2 linked regions of the Rhinolophus ferrumequinum genome follow. The protein of the gene in region 1 binds, or shares a complex with, the protein of each later gene. Links are inferred from orthologs where the notes say so. Each region holds a gene or a part of one and is shown on either strand. Other genes may lie near its edges. The genes, in order: CNOT6 and CNOT11.

Evidence for each region.
Region 2: CNOT6 (region 1) and CNOT11 share a complex: the UniProt entries of both Homo sapiens proteins name them as parts of the CCR4-NOT complex. The link is inferred for Rhinolophus ferrumequinum from reciprocal best matches to the Homo sapiens genes CNOT6 and CNOT11.

What each region holds. Positions count from the first base shown.
Region 1 is NC_046307.1:3,498,074-3,505,243, forward strand, and holds the start of CNOT6 (CCR4-NOT transcription complex subunit 6), read left to right. Parts: upstream 1-4,113; 5' UTR 4,114-4,275; intron 4,276-5,180; 5' UTR 5,181-5,283; coding exon 5,284-5,290; intron 5,291-7,170. UniProt on the Homo sapiens protein: Poly(A) nuclease with 3'-5' RNase activity.
Region 2 is NC_046296.1:3,473,321-3,481,488, reverse strand, and holds the start of CNOT11 (CCR4-NOT transcription complex subunit 11), read left to right. Parts: upstream 1-4,959; 5' UTR 4,960-5,035; coding exon 5,036-5,552; intron 5,553-8,168. UniProt on the Homo sapiens protein: Component of the CCR4-NOT complex which is one of the major cellular mRNA deadenylases and is linked to various cellular processes including bulk mRNA degradation, miRNA-mediated repression, translational repression during translational initiation and general transcription regulation.

The sequences.
Region 1 (7,170 bases):
GCTCCAGGAGAGGGCACGTGATTTCCTCCTGGCCAGGGTAGGATATCACCCTAAACGTGGTGTTTGGTTCAGGGATGGAAATGAGTCAGTCCCAGGACATTTGCTCAGCTGCTGAGGGAAGCTCTCTCTTTCCTTCTGGGCTTGAATCTTGTAGGAGCTGGCATCCATTCTGCTTCCATACTGCCCCTGATGATAAAATCAACATGGAGAGGAGCAGAGTGCATTAGCCTCTAGATTAGCCCCTGAAGCTGATAGACTCTTTCTGGCCTTTTACAGTGATTAGACCCAACTAACTCCTTTCTTTTCTTAAAGCTGTTTGAGATGGTTTTTCAATCAATTGCAGGCTAATATAGTGGGCCCAGAGACAAAGGACACTCTGGGGAGATCTGACTGGGACCTGCAAGTTCATCTGTTAGACTGGGTCCTCTCTGAGAAAAACTGGAGGCCTCACCAGTGCTGGCCCTGGTCAGCAAGTCTCCACCCTGAAAGGAGGCGTCAGACTGTCAGAGCTGAGTGGCTCCACAGGGCCCACAGTTCAGGCTCACCAAGCACCCTCTGGCAAGACCGGTTTGCCATGTGCTTTCCCACTGGGAGACGTGGATCTTCCACTGTAAGCATTCGGGTCTCACCGTGGTTGGGTTTATCTTGCAAATAAACCTTGGAGCCTGCATCAGTTCGCCATCTCCTGTGCATTTTAGTTACTGCAGCCACTCTGAGCAATGCTCCCCATCTCCGGGGACCTTGGCAAGTCCAATTGCTGGACCCACAAAGTTATGGTCCACATCCTACACCGACCTTGAGTTTGAATTCCAGACACGCCTGCAAAATAGACACCACAGCCACATCAACAGGCATGGCCACCTCTTGGTTGTCCATCTTCGTTATTTATCCTCCTATCCACTAGCCAATACATTTACTAAGCATCAAATGAGAAGTATTTTGATTGCAAGTGACAGAAGCCTAACCTTAACTTAAGCAAAAAATGAACTTATTGGCTCATGTACCTGGACTAGATCATAGGATAAAAGGGAAAACTATCAAAATCAGGATTTTGGCACCTGGTACCAAGGCTCTGTCACCAAGACGATCTCTCTTCATCTCTCTCTCATCTCTCCATGTGTTGGGAAGATGCACTGGCTGCCACCAACTCATACTGTCCCAGTTTAGGACCCCAGTGGTATGAGAACTCTTCCCACATCCACATAGCAAATCCCAGGTTGGTTACATGCCCACCACTGGGCCTGAGGGTCAAGGTGTTCAGAACAGAGGAAGGAACTGCGAAAGCCTGTGAGTGGAAAAGACTCAAAAGCAGCCCCAGTTGGCGGCATGGGGGCAACATGATTTAGATTGGAGTGGCTCACAGCCTGGCAGGGAGAATGCTATCTTTGCTGAGTGCCCTGATGGCAGGAAAGGGGCCCGGAGCCTGAGGAGACAGGAACCAACTCTGCTGGGAAGCCTTCCCTGAGAAGGCCTGAGGTGGAATCTGCTCCCCTCCTTCTGGCCACCCCAATTCCCCAAGGGATGGTCCTTCCCTGCTCTCAATACATCTACTTCATGCAGGGCTGACCTCACACCTGGCTGCAGGGAGTAAGACCAGAGCTCTGGTCAGGCCAGTGAGAGCTGCCCTGGGTTCTTGCTAAAACGATGAGGAAAGAAATTCTCAAGAGGAGAAGCTGGTAGAATCTACGCCTGCCTGTCGTAGTGGCCATCTCTCCTGCCTGGCTACACAACCTGTGTGAAGAAGCCAGTGGGGAGGAGAGCAGAGTGAAAGGTGGAGGGGTGAGATTGTTCTGGATGGCATCTTATTATGCCTGAACTTTTCAGTTATGTGACACCTGAATATGCAAATGATCTCTTTCTGCAAAAAGTCTACTTGAGTTGGGGTTTTATAACAATGCAATGGGAAGTCTTGGCTCACATGAAAGGCACGATTTGGATCTGCAAAGGTGAGAGGCTTTTCTAGGGTTTTCTTCAGATATTCAGAAAGAACAGGACGTGCACAGGCAGGGCCACCACTGGTACCCTCCCTGTGGGTTCCCCCAATCTATCAGATGGCCCCCCAAAACTCTGTCCCTCCCTGTACATACATGCAGCTCCTGTGTTGCTTATGTCCTCTCCTCTTGAATCTGGACTGGGCTTTGATGCTATGACTAACAGACTCCTGAAGTGACATCCTTCAGAAGGCCTGGCAGCTTCCACTTGCTCCCTCGTGGAGCCCTGGGTTGCCATTCAACAAGTCCAAGATCTCCTGCCGGAGAGAGAAACCACAAAGAAAAGCTGAGGATGAGATACAACACAGAAAAAGACCTCACTGGGGGCACCAAGGTGCCAGACATCCAACCCCCAGCCACCATCTCACTAGAGGCATGAGAGCCCAAGTGAGACCAACAGAATTGTCTAGCTGGGCACAGTTATGTCTATCATGAGCTATAATAAACTAGTTTACACCACTGAGTTTTTTGTTATGCGGCTGGACGTCCCCTCCACCATACATATTGCGCCAACCACAAAAAGTAGCTCCCTCTGGGCAGCTGAATTATAAAAAAGGGACCCCTCTGTCCAGGCTGGAGCACAGGTTGCCAGGGCACAGCACTCACATGGAGGCAGAGGACCAGCTGGATGTACAGCAGATTGCTTAACCCTAGACTCAGTAGCCTGGGTTTGGAGGATACAGAGGGATGCCCACAGGCCAGTCTGCACTTGCTCTTTTCAACCCCTAACCCCTGCTGCCCTGTTCTTGTCCAGTGTCCTATGGCACTAGAGGACTGGGCTGTCATGTTGATTTCTTGGAAAATGGCAGGCAGGAACCATCCCCAGGCCATGCTGGGGAGAGACAAGCACAGAACCTCGGCAGCCTCTGTCCCTCAATCTTTTCCTTGCTCTTCCAGCTCTACCTTTGCCCCAACAGCAGCCACCCGTTTCCATATACTCTAGCCCAAGACAGCCTTTGGTGGGGGTGTCTTACTTTACCGCTATTGCTACTTACCAGAACCCATTTCACTTGTATTTCTTCAGGGTTGATATCTCAGGGGGGAGCCCATCCTAGTTTGCCATGTAGATGAGAGGATGGCTACTCCTTTTCCCCTCATGCCATGCCTGTCTGCCTCTCTACTGGATTTTAAGTCTGTTGGCTGTTTCTCTTGCCTCCAGACTATGAGCTTGCTCGGGGCAGAGTGGGGCCTGCTTCATCTCTCTGCCCTGGCCCCAGCACAAAGCCTGGCCATATAAGTTAAGGTGTCCACCCCATCGTCAGCCAGTCCAGTCTTTCCTCTGCTCGCCTTCAGTCACCACCTGAATAGAACGCCTCCATGTCTGAACGCAGATGCTGACGATTACTCCAGCTAGAATCCCACCACACGAACCGTCCCTCAATTACTGGACTGAATGACCATTGATGGAGCGCAACGGGCCATTAAGTAATTTTTTCAGCATATTTGAGGGAAGAAAACTCATATGACTGTTCACGATTGAATGTCTCATCTTTAGGCAAATCAAGATACTGGCTAAGGTCAAAAGTCTGAGAGCTAGTCCATGTTTCCATGTGATTGACAGGCAAAACGGAGGGGAGGAAGATCAAAGAAAAAGAGGGAAGAGAGGAGACAAAAGTGAACAGCCCGAGACAAATAAAAGAGAGCTGGATGAAAACCAGAGCAGCCGTTAAAAAGAGGAAAAAAGAGAAGTGACGGGAACGACGGGAATGAGGAGAGCGGGAAGAGGAGCGGGAGGGAGGGCCGGGAGCGCGCCGGGCCGGACCACCGTCCCCAAGGGCGGGGGTGGAGGGGCGGGGCCTGGGGCAGCGCGTGCAGGAAGAAACCCCTCCCGGCGCCGAATGGTTGCGCCCGGTGGCGGCGGCCAATGGGCGGCCGGGATGTTGGAGAGGCGGCGGCGGTCGGGGCGCTCGCTGGCTGGGAGACGGCGGCCGCCGCCATGATGCTTGTTTGCTTTCAATGAAAGCGAGGGGGGCGCGGAGGAGGAGGCGGCGGCGTCGGTGGCGGCGGCGTCGGCGGCGCGGAGGCGAAGGCGGCGGCGGGCACAGCGAGGAGGGCGAGGCCGGGGCCCGAGAGGGCAGGAGGGCATAGTGGCGGCCGGTCGGGGCAGCTGAGACGGGCGGCTGAGGCGGTGGCGCTCGGAGGGGGAACAAAGAGCGGCGGCCGAGGCGGCGGCGGCGGCGCTGCGGCAGCGGGCGGGACTGGTATGGTGGTTCCACAGGTCAGACCCCGCTGCACTCACAGGGAGGAGGCGGCAGCGGCGGCGGAGGTCGGCGCACCCCGAGAGGTGAGCGAGATGGCCCAAGCCCGCCGGGCAGCTCCCGCACTGGCTGTTCACGGGCCCCGCTCGGTCGTGCCCCCGGGGCACGCGGGGAGCGGGCAACTTGAGCTTGGCGAGCGGCGGGCCCGTAGCTGGGCTGAGTTGGCGGCTGTTGAGGCCCCCAAGATACGTTGCGATCGCGCAGCGCCGGGAGTCGCTCCCCCACGCCCAAACCGGGGGTGGGGGGCGTTGATTGACGGCGGGCGCGGCGGCGCGCAGGGGCGGGGCGGGGGCGCGCTGGCCCTCGGACCCCGGCGCGGGTCCCCGGGAGGAGGCGAGTCGGTGTCCGAGACTCGCGGCCGGGATGGGTGGCAACTTTGGAGGAGTGGCTGTGGGATTGCGCGCTGCAGAGTGTGGAACCTCGCAAAGCGGGAAACCGACTGTTTACCCCCTCCCCCAAAAGTGTTTACAATTCAGTTTAACGCAGATTTTGGGGGAGTGGGTGGGAATGACATGGTTAAAGAATCGCTTAGCACCGAATGAAAAGATTTATGGTATTGCTAAGGTAAGGACTCGGAGTAGTTCTAGTGACTTGAAGCAGTTTTCTCCAGTAACCGGAGTTCGTTCTCTCCCCCTCTCCCCCTCTCCCCCTCCCCCCTCCTCCCCCCTGCCCCCCTCCTCCCCCCTCCCCCCCTCCCCCTCTCCTCCTCACACTCCCCACAATACGGAAACTTTTTTCTTTGACTCTTCCTCCACCTTCCCCAAAGAGCCTGCTAACTAACGCCGGTAACCTTTTTATTTAACTGTTACTGCAAATGACAACATTGTGAATGGTCATCTTGCTGGACCTTCCTGGATTTGTTATTGTGTTAAGCTGACATTGTTTCAATAATCTGCTTGAATTTGAGTTCCCATATTTACCTGTTTTCCAGGTGGATTGTCCTATTAGTGCTACTGCGGAATCTTCTTGCTTCCTTGTTTCTGGGAATTTAATTTTGAAGAGAAGAGAATTTTGGAGAGGAAGTGAAAAATAAAATGGCATGTAATAACACTTTGTGTTTTTCACAATACACTGACTGGGATTTACCATTCCAAACCAGTTTTGTAGGTTGTAGGAGCTGATACAGCCGTTGGTCAAGGTTTTGAAGACTTTTTTTGGTAATTGCTGTCAGCAGTTGTCACTGTCTTTAGAATGTCATGACTTTTAGAATAAAAATTGCTTAATATTTTTAGACGAGTGATCTAGTCCAGTCGACTTGCTTTAAACAAAATATTTGAGTAAGTGCTGATGAGGAAAGACCTAGAAGGTTAAAGTGACTGGCCCAAACATATTACAGTTAAGAGGGACCAGGTTGTGTATGAATATGAGAGCAAATGAGAATGTAATTGCTGGAGAGTATAGTTCTTTGGGGAGGGCAGAGGGTGTTTTAATGGATTGAAGTTATTTGAGGTAGTTGAGTCTGGTCAGTTCTCAGGTGAACATGACAGTGAAATGGTCAAAAACGAAGATGTGACAAAAGTGTCTCGATCAGTGGTAATGTAAATGAAGAAGCCCTTTTAAATGTCTGTTTGATTTTGTAGGTATCTTCAGGTATCTTAAATCTTGGGGGCAGAGTACTGTTACTGGGAAATTTCAGACTAGTTTCTTTTAAAGAGATGAGGGTGGTTATAGAACTCGATCCTGACAACAAATAAAGGTGTTGTAGGAATCTACCTCCTCTACCTGTAGTTTATAAATATGTGCTTTGGTTAATACTTAGGCATCGTGCTATACCCATATGAGCCTTATTATATTCTTTAAAGCATACACCGTTTTCATATGCAACGTTTTCATATGTAACGCAAACAGGAATAAAGGCCCAAGGACTGCTCACAGCTGAGGGTGGGGGCGCCGACATCTTCAGCACACTTGTACTTTTTCCATGTGCAAGGCACACTAGGGAAAGCTCTGCTTTTAAAGTGTTTATCACTTTGGAAAAGTCTAAATAGGCTCAGCTAAGAACATACTCTAATGGAGAAAAGAAAGACGTGGATTTGTGGGTATGTAATGCTATTAATTACACTTTTGTTGTGGTTGGAACTTAATGTTACTGTCTTGGGAAAGTTCCAATTTTAATTTTCAAATCCTTAGCTTCCACAAAATCTTTTATCCATGTACTTTTTTCTTTCATCTTAACTGCTGCTCATTTTAGGAAGGTAGCCATTTTAGGACAGTGTGATTAACAAAACACTATGTATGTGAAATTAAGAAATGCTGAATAAACTGTAAAACTTACTGTATGCATAGCCTGTGTTCATTAGAGTACAATGAAATGCACTATATTTTGGTATTTGAAGTAGTAATTAAAGAGGAGAAGGTCGTTTGCCTCTAAGATGGGGCCTCATTTAGGCTGCCTTAATCTTACTCCCTCATCCCTTTATATTTTCTTGATAGCTTAAGTTACATATCGAGGAATAGTTATGCTGGACCCTGAGAATGCAAAACTGAATACTCAAGTTTCTGCCTGGGTGTAGTTTAATAGGCTTAGTAGGTGTACCAAGTTCTGTGGGAGAATAGAAGAGAAAATGGTTGTATTTGTGGAAGGTGTGGAAGCAGTTTACAGAAAATAACAGAGAAAAGGTGTTTGTCCAACTGGGGATAAGGGGTCATTTCAAACAGAAGGAACCATGGGTGCACTGAGGTGCCAAGTGTTGGGGTGAGGTCAATGGTGAGATGTTACCGGAATAGGGAGACTGACTAGAGATGAACCTGCAAAAAAGTATGTCTGGCCTAGATTTTGAAAGACCCTGCTTGCTAAGCTAAAAGTGAGGTTTATATCTTTATCCTATAGAAAAGGAGGGAGCCAAAATATTTTTAGTGGGGGCATAAGGTGATTTAAAGATCACTGTCATCAGTGTGGAGGATTGAGCCAAGGCCCTACA
Region 2 (8,168 bases), on another chromosome or scaffold:
TGCATACATACACACACACACACACACACACACACAAAACCACATTTATTTTTGCTTTTTGCAATTAGCATTATGCCATGGGAATGTTGCTATTTTATTTTTAACTTCTTATTTTGAAATAATTGTAGATTCACAGGAAATTGCAAAAAAAAAAAAAAAAAAGTAGGGACAGTTCCCCTGTACTCTTCACCCAGCTTCTCTCAATGGTAACAACATCTTACATAATTAGAGTACACAACGACAACTAGGAAATAAGCACTGTTACAATGGACCTGTGTAGTTCTATGCAATTTTATCACGTTTGTACACCTATGTAGCTACCATTGCAATTCAGATACAGAAGTGTTCCATCACCACAAAGCTCCCTCCTGCGACCCTGTTGGAGTCACGCCCATCTCTCTGCTCCCAACCATCCCTAATCTCTGGAAACCATTAACCTATTTTTTTTATCTCTAAAATGTTGTTATTGCAAGAACGTTATATAAATGGAATCATAAATGTGTGACCTTTGAGAATGGCTTTTTTTCACCCAGCAGAATTCTCTTCAGATCCATCCAACAGTCCATTCATTTTTATTTGCTGAGTAGTACTCCACAGATGGATTTACTGTGTAAACAACATTTACATGTTTAAACTGTGTAAACAACATTTACAATATTCCTGCTGGTAGATTTGCTGTAGTTATTCCCTATTGTTGGACATTTAGGTGTTGCTGATGACAATAAATGCTGTGACTATCTCGTCCAAAAGGGCTTTCCTGATTCTTATTTCTTTAAGATAGCCTTTCAGAAATAGAATTATTTAGACAAAAGGATATCAATATTTTTCAGACTCTTAGTGCATATTACCAAATTATTTTTCTGAAAGCCCCACCAGCCATTTAGAGACTAAGATTAGAGGTTTTCCTAAATTACAGGCCCTATAATAAATATGCTAAAACAATCCACAAAGAAAGATTAATTCTTTAAAAAAAAAGAAAGAAAAGAAAAAAGAAAAGAAAACTCCCCTCTTTCTCAGGATAGATCAGATGAGGCAGGGGGACGCTTTCCTGTGGATTTTCTCTGTTACCCAGGAAAGGAAACTCGGGGTGGGGGTTATTATTTATTATAATAAATGTGTGACTTGCTTTCTGCAAAAGCCAACTCAATATTCAGAGGAGAAGCTGATGAGTCTTGCTATGTCCTAGATGTACTCAATTTGGTATGTGTGATCTAAAGTTATCTTGGCATTGCGCTGTCTACTATGACCAGCATGACTGGAGGCAAAATGTCACATACGTGCATGGTACAACGGTGGCCAGGATGCCTGTGCATGCTTTGATCTCTGGATTTTTGCTGTCTACCCCTTCAGAGGCTGATCGTTGGAAGAAAAGGAGGAAACGTGAGAGCATCAAAAAAGCTTAGATCTGAGAAAAAAAGTGACTGACATGGCTGTGTATGCCATGGACATGTTGAGCCTGCCAATGCCAACAATGAGCTCCATCTTCAGGACTGACCAACAGTTACAATGAAATCAAATGATTTGGGACCCTTGCTATATCATTAGATCTAATCTGCTAACCTCATCAGTAAAAGTTGAATTCTCAAGGCACCTCATCCACGTAGTACAAAGATCTCTGAAATACTGACATTCTTTCTAGTATTAATTTAAAAATTAGGCCAAAGATGTCTTACCTTTACGTGTTCAGTGTCCTAAGCAGTCCCACCCTCATCTTGGGTCATATTGATAGCTCTAGACCACAGAACTACAATAAGCTCTGACCTGCCAGTCCTGGAGCCAGCTGGGGAAAACTGACTGTCACGCGGGGTGACAGGCGGGGTCTCAGCTCCCGCTCCCCACACAAGAAGAATGCAGGACATGGTGAGGCCAAAAAGGAACACCCACGGAGCCATAGGAAGGGGAGTCATACCATTATAGTCTCACTGGAGGCTGGATTCACACGACCTGCGACCTGCTGTCCGCTTTTCTGCCAACCGACCGACTCTCTGACCTCCCTCCACTCTCCTCGACTCCCCAACGCAGCCACGGCAGTTATATTAGTGGCCAATGGCTCAATGGTTACAGCCGACGGCCAACCAGCCACAGCTGACGGCCATCTACTACCTGAGCCAGCACCTTTCCGCATGAGGCCGAGAGCCTGGAAACTGCTCTCTGGGGCTCTGTCCCCACACTGACCAACTCTACAGGCAGCCATAACTGAGCTCCAAACCCTAAAGGATCTGGCAAACTCAAGTCAGGGTCCCCAGCCAGTGGAGTAGACAAGACCAAAGAAGAATTTGGAGAGAGAACAAGAAAGCAGATATTATGACTGATAACAACTGGACTGAAAATTATAAACATTGTTTAGAATGAACATCACTCTGTTGTTTGGTTACCTTCACCAATAGAAATGCCTTCCTTCTATTGATGTGCCTGTCCTGTCCGTTTCTCATAAACACCCCATGCCTTTGCCTCCAAATCTCCTGATAGGAACACTATTTGGGGTTCTGTCTGCATCAGTGTTTCCCAAATTGCTATTCTTTTGGTCTCAAATAAATGTTTGCTGTCTCTCACTTGGGCCTTTTATTTTTAGGTTAACAAATATAAAGGTAGAAATGAGTTGGATGTGAAGAAGAACTACCAAGCCATATGCTCAGGAGAACTTAGGGCCTCTACTGGGGTGAATAGTGTCACTCAAAATTCATATCCACCTGGAAGTTCAGCATGTGACCTTATTTGGAAATGGGGTCTTGGTAGATATAATTAGTAAAGATGAGGTCATACTGGATTAGGGTGGGCCGTACATCCAATGACTGGTTTCCTCATAAGAAGGTCATATGAAACACACACACGAGGAAGAAGGCTAAGTGACCTCAGAGGCAGAGGTTGGAATGGTGCAGCCATAAGACCAGGGACACCAGAGACTGCTGACAACCACCAGAAGCTGGGAAGAGACAAGCGGGAATTCTTCCCTAGAGCCTTTAGAAGGAGCATGGCTCTCCTGACCCCTTCATTTTGGACTTTTAGCCTCCAGAGCTGTGAGAGAACACATTTCCATTGGGTTAAGCCACCCAGCTTGTGGTTACCAGGAAACTAATTCAGGGCCTGAGAGTTGTTTTCAGGGAATATGTAGGAAGCTCTGGCTATCATCTTAATTTTGAAAGTGTTCCTAAAGAAAAGCAGTTTGTTAAAAAGCAAACGTCAAGTACATTTGAAGATCTAATTGGCTTTATTAAGCAATTCATGAATCGGGCAACATCCCATCTATCCACTAGAAGGCCACTCAGAGGGAATGTGCAAAATGGAAGGCTTTTACAGGAATGGTAGGCCAAGGGAGCTATTGATAGAAGGAAAAAAAGGATTGTTTTGGGGCTGGGCCATTTTTTGAGGGGAAAGAGAATGAGAAAGAGTTTTTATCATGCTGATTGCCTCTTCTTTCTATGGGGGAATGGAGATGACTGAGGGAAAGATTACCTTGCTGGTGCTTGACCAGAAAATTCCAGACTGGTTGATTAAGATTACATTTCTGAGAGAGGTTGAAACAGCAATTAGGTCAGGTATTAAATCAAGGTTTGGTATCATGGGCTTTTAGCATGAGTGATGCCATTTTGGCATGTGGTTTTCTCTTTCACAAGTTCTGGGGGTAGAGGCGGGTTATTATAATGTTTCAATATTTTGAAACATCTTAAAAAAAAAAGTTAAACTTACATATGTAGGCTCAGGAATGTGATCATAAACCAATCAGTCTGGAATTTCCTGATCAACACTTGTGAGGTAATCTGTCTGATAAGAACCCTGTCAGCCTTCCTCCAAAGATAGATGACCTTGCCTGAAACAATCTTTGTTTTCTTTTGCTAATAACTTTCTTGTCCCACTCAGTTTCCTATAAAAACCTTCAATTTTGTACAGCCCCTTGGAGCACTTCTCTGTTATTTACTACTAGATGGGATGCTGCCTGGTTCATGAATCTGCTCAATGAAACCAATTAGATCTTCAGATTTAAATTTTGTTTTTTAACAGTTGCTATTAAGAATGTCAATTGGCAGGAACTTTCTAGAGGGTAATCTAGCAGTAAATTAAAGAAGCCTTTAGAATATGCTGGTGGTCACGCAGCAATTTCTCTCCCTTCAATTTTACTTTACAATTAAGTTGGTGCTTAATTTAATAATTCTTAAACTGCTAGCACTGTTTAGTGCACACTGGATTTCCCAAACTCACCTGGTGGGAACTAATGGTGAAATGTGCCTGTAGGTTTCTGTGGATCCAGGGAGAAGCTGGGCAAGTCTGGGAAACAAGGTGGTTCTCAGACCAGAGTGCATGCTAGTCACCTGGGGAGGTGATTGGTTTTTGTTTTGTAATACCTGAGTCAACATCTCTGGGGGTGGGACCAGGCACTAGCATTTTTAGACGCCCTGGGGCTTCCAACAAGCAGCCAAGGCCCAGAATCAGCGTCCTAGGGCAAACTATGTAAAAAGTTGCACAATTTTGTAAATATTTACTGGAAACATTCCTCCTAAATCTTGTTAAAATACGATGTACAAACGCTCCTGTGCAATATGATTCCATTTCTGCAAAAAGGAGTGTAAAACTGGAAATTAACTTTGATTATGAGTAATGTGTTAGTGACTTGCACTTAACTTTTTTTTTTTTACCACCAAGAGTCATGTATGTCATATTAAGAAAACCATTTACAATCTAAGACGCACTTTTCCAAACAATGTAGCCCCCAGCTAGTGGGACCACCTGGTGCCCGGAACTCCGCCGGGAACTCACTCCTCAACACGTAGACCCCCGCAGTTTTTGAGCGGAACCGTGCAGGCCCGCCCCCACTTCCGGCCTCTTGACCCCGCCCACCCCATCTCCGGATCCTCTCCTTGGCTTCGCTCCACCAGCCTCGCTTTCGCTCCGCGCTGCCCAGCCCTTTGCGACGCCCTGGCTTCCCCGACGAGTTTGGTTTGCGACGCTGTCGTGTAACAGCGCGCTTTACGGCCGCGGGACGGAGCGAGCCGGCGTTAGGGCCACTCCGGCCGGGAAGCGGGACAGGCGAGAGAGGTTGATGCCCGGCGGCGGGGCGAGCGCGGCGTCTGGCCGGCTTCTGACCGCTGCGGAGCAAAGAGGGGCCCGAGAAGCGGTGGGGGCGGCGTCCAGGAGCGGCCCGGGGGTCTCCGGCAGCGGCGGCAGAGGCGGAGCAGGAGGCCCCGGGCCGGGCAGTGGAGGCCCGGGGGGCCCTGCGGGCAGGATGAGCCTGACCCCGAAGGAGCTCTCGAGCCTGCTGAGCATCATCTCGGAGGAGGCGGGCGGCGGCACCACCTTCGAGGGCCTGTCCACCGCCTTCCACCACTACTTCAGCAAGGCTGACCACTTCCGCCTGGGCTCTGTGCTCGTGATGCTCCTGCAGCAGCCGGACCTGCTGCCCAGCGCGGCGCAGCGCCTCACGGCGCTCTACCTGCTGTGGGAGATGTACCGCACCGAGCCGCTGGCCGCCAACCCCTTCGCCGCCAGCTTCGCGCACCTGCTCAACCCCGCGCCGCCCGCCCGCGGCGGCCAGGAGCCGGACCGGCCACCGCTCTCGGGTAAGCGCCGCGGCCGGCCCTTCGCTCCCGGAGCCCGGTGTGCGTTGTGGATAGTTAGGTTCGTCGGTTTTCCACCTGCGCTGTCGGAAATTGCCCCGAAAGTGAAATGAGCTCTCCTTTTGAAATTATCTCTGCCTCCCCCACCTTTAAAGTATGGAGAAGTGGTAGCTTAATTACAAGTTCATGGCATCGAAGATGATTTTTCTCAGTAGTACAGGCCGTTCAAATTATGCAGCGCAGTGGGGGGCTTGACATTTTTAGTACCTTAAATACAGTTCGTTCTTGTAAAGCTTGTCTGAGGGGTGTGAAATTGTAACTAGTGACCCACCGATCTGTCCCTGGCTTTAACTTTCAGACGAGTAAGTAGAGGCCATTGTTCAGAACCCGAAGTTTTGGGTGGAAACACATTAAACAGCTTTTAAGGACTTTGCAGCCATCTTTGTTGGACTGTTAGGTGCCCTTGGATAATGTGATGGGAGCAGAGGATAGATAGTTTCAAATTCACCGCCGAGGTCAGAAAACGCATTATGTGAACTGTGTGCAACATTGGTAAGATCAGATCAGTGGCCCCATGCGAGGCTGCCTCTTATTTAATTTTATTTTTAACTCAAGAGATGCTTTATGAGACTTGACTTTGGGAGAAGACTTGCAGCCAGGAGAGGAGAAAGGCACAGAGGGGATGGTGACAAGTATAACGGTACCTGGAAGACTTAGAGAAGGACCAGTGTCATGGGGGACGCCCAGGTAGTTAGAGGTGGGAAACAGCTTGATCTTCCAGTCCTTAACCTGGTGTCCTTCACCCGTGGGTAAAGGGCAAATCACTCTATAGGCAGGGCTGCTTTACAAGGAGTCAAAAGGCTAAGACAGCAGATTTTGAGCTAATACCATGCAGTTTTTCATGGTGCAGGAGGGCTTTTACATTTTAAGCTAGTCTGTCGTCCTGCCTGACATCCCTCTGGATCTAGAGCGTCTTCTGGTTTGTTTCCTGCACTGCCCTTATCCACGAGGGGCAACTTTTTTGTTGGGTGAGATGCCCCTAGGGTACAGTCCTGAAGTTTGAGAATACTCAGAAAGTGAATGCAATATGTGTATGAGTGGTCAAAACCCACCTCCATACGGAGCCCATAGAGGATGGGGACACTGACGGATTTAGGTCACAGGGCCCTTTGAATTCTTTGCATGAGCTAGACAAAAGAACCATGATTTATATACTGTCGTTCTCAAATGCAATGAGTCGAAACCTAGATCTAGACTGTAGACTGCGTTGTAAACAAATGGGCCAGGGAAGGAATCCATGGATGGCTTATTTCACCTCTCTATGCCTCAGTTTCTACGTCTGTAAAATGCCGGTAATTCCTTGCTGGTAGAGTTATTAGGAATAAAAGTAGTCACAATAAGTATTACCCATTATCATCATTACTTTCATTAAAGCAGGTAGGGATGGTGCTTAAAAATAAATGGAATATCGGTGCCAAAGCTCATGACATTGTACACCTAGAGTGTCTAAGGAGTGTATTTTTAAAAGTTTTTCAGATGATTCTCATGCAGAGCCAGGGTTGAGAATGTATCTGGAAGTAAATCAGAAGGCTTCCCTGTGCCCAAGAAGCGTGTAGGCTGGTTGGGGAGACATAAACATAGTCATAACACAGTGTGGTAAGGGCTGTACTACATGTCACATACCAAATGCTCAGTAGCACAGAGCAAACTCCAGTGTGTAACTGTTAGAGATGGTGGCGGGGAGGAAAAGGGGTGGCCCTGCCAGGTATTCTTCAAAGAACTTGCTCTGTTGGATGTTTTGAAATCCAGAATCAGAGAAGCTGATTTTGTGCAGCTGGAGTGTAGGATACAGGCATTGGAGGGGAATTCAAGAGATGAGATCGGGAAAGGGGGTCAGAGCAGGTTACGAAGGGTTTTCAAATGGTGCAGAAGTTTGGGTTTAATTCTGTGTAAACAGGTTAAGTAACGTGAGCAGTTTTGTGCCTAGAAATATAGCAGAATGGTAAGTGGGGGTGTGGACTGTAGGTGGGTCAGGAGTCAAAAGGGGTTGCTTTGGAAACCAGGAAGGCTGTCCTATAGTCCAGGCAAGAGAGGAGGGAGAGGGAATGGCGAGGAGGGAACGGAGTCACCGGAGTCTGGTGACGCTGCAGGAGGATGGATGGTGAACAGTTAATACGGGGCCAAAGGAACCAGTCACTGTATTGAAGCAGGTGTGTGAAGTGTATTTGCGTTATTGGTGATTGCTTCCTTCTTTTCAACCTCTGCAGTGGCTGCAGCAGCAGAGAAGAAAAAAAAGCATTCCTAAGTGCTGGAGTTCTCTTACTTGTTTTTGCTTGCATATGTAAGCTTTAGCCTTTGCAGGGATTGAGGCATGTGAAAAACAAAGTTCTTAATAGTTACAAAAACCTTGTTTTCATTGATACTGCCACAAATCATAGCATTTCCAATGACGTATTTAATTACCTTTAATAAAAGTATATATTTAGTTAATTATGATTGAAACTTGAACTTAATTATAATTTTGTTTTGAAAATATGTGAATCGAGACGGCAAGTAGCAAATGCTAATTTTACCAGATTCATGTTAAGTTTTAAAAATTAATCATTGTACATCTTTGTT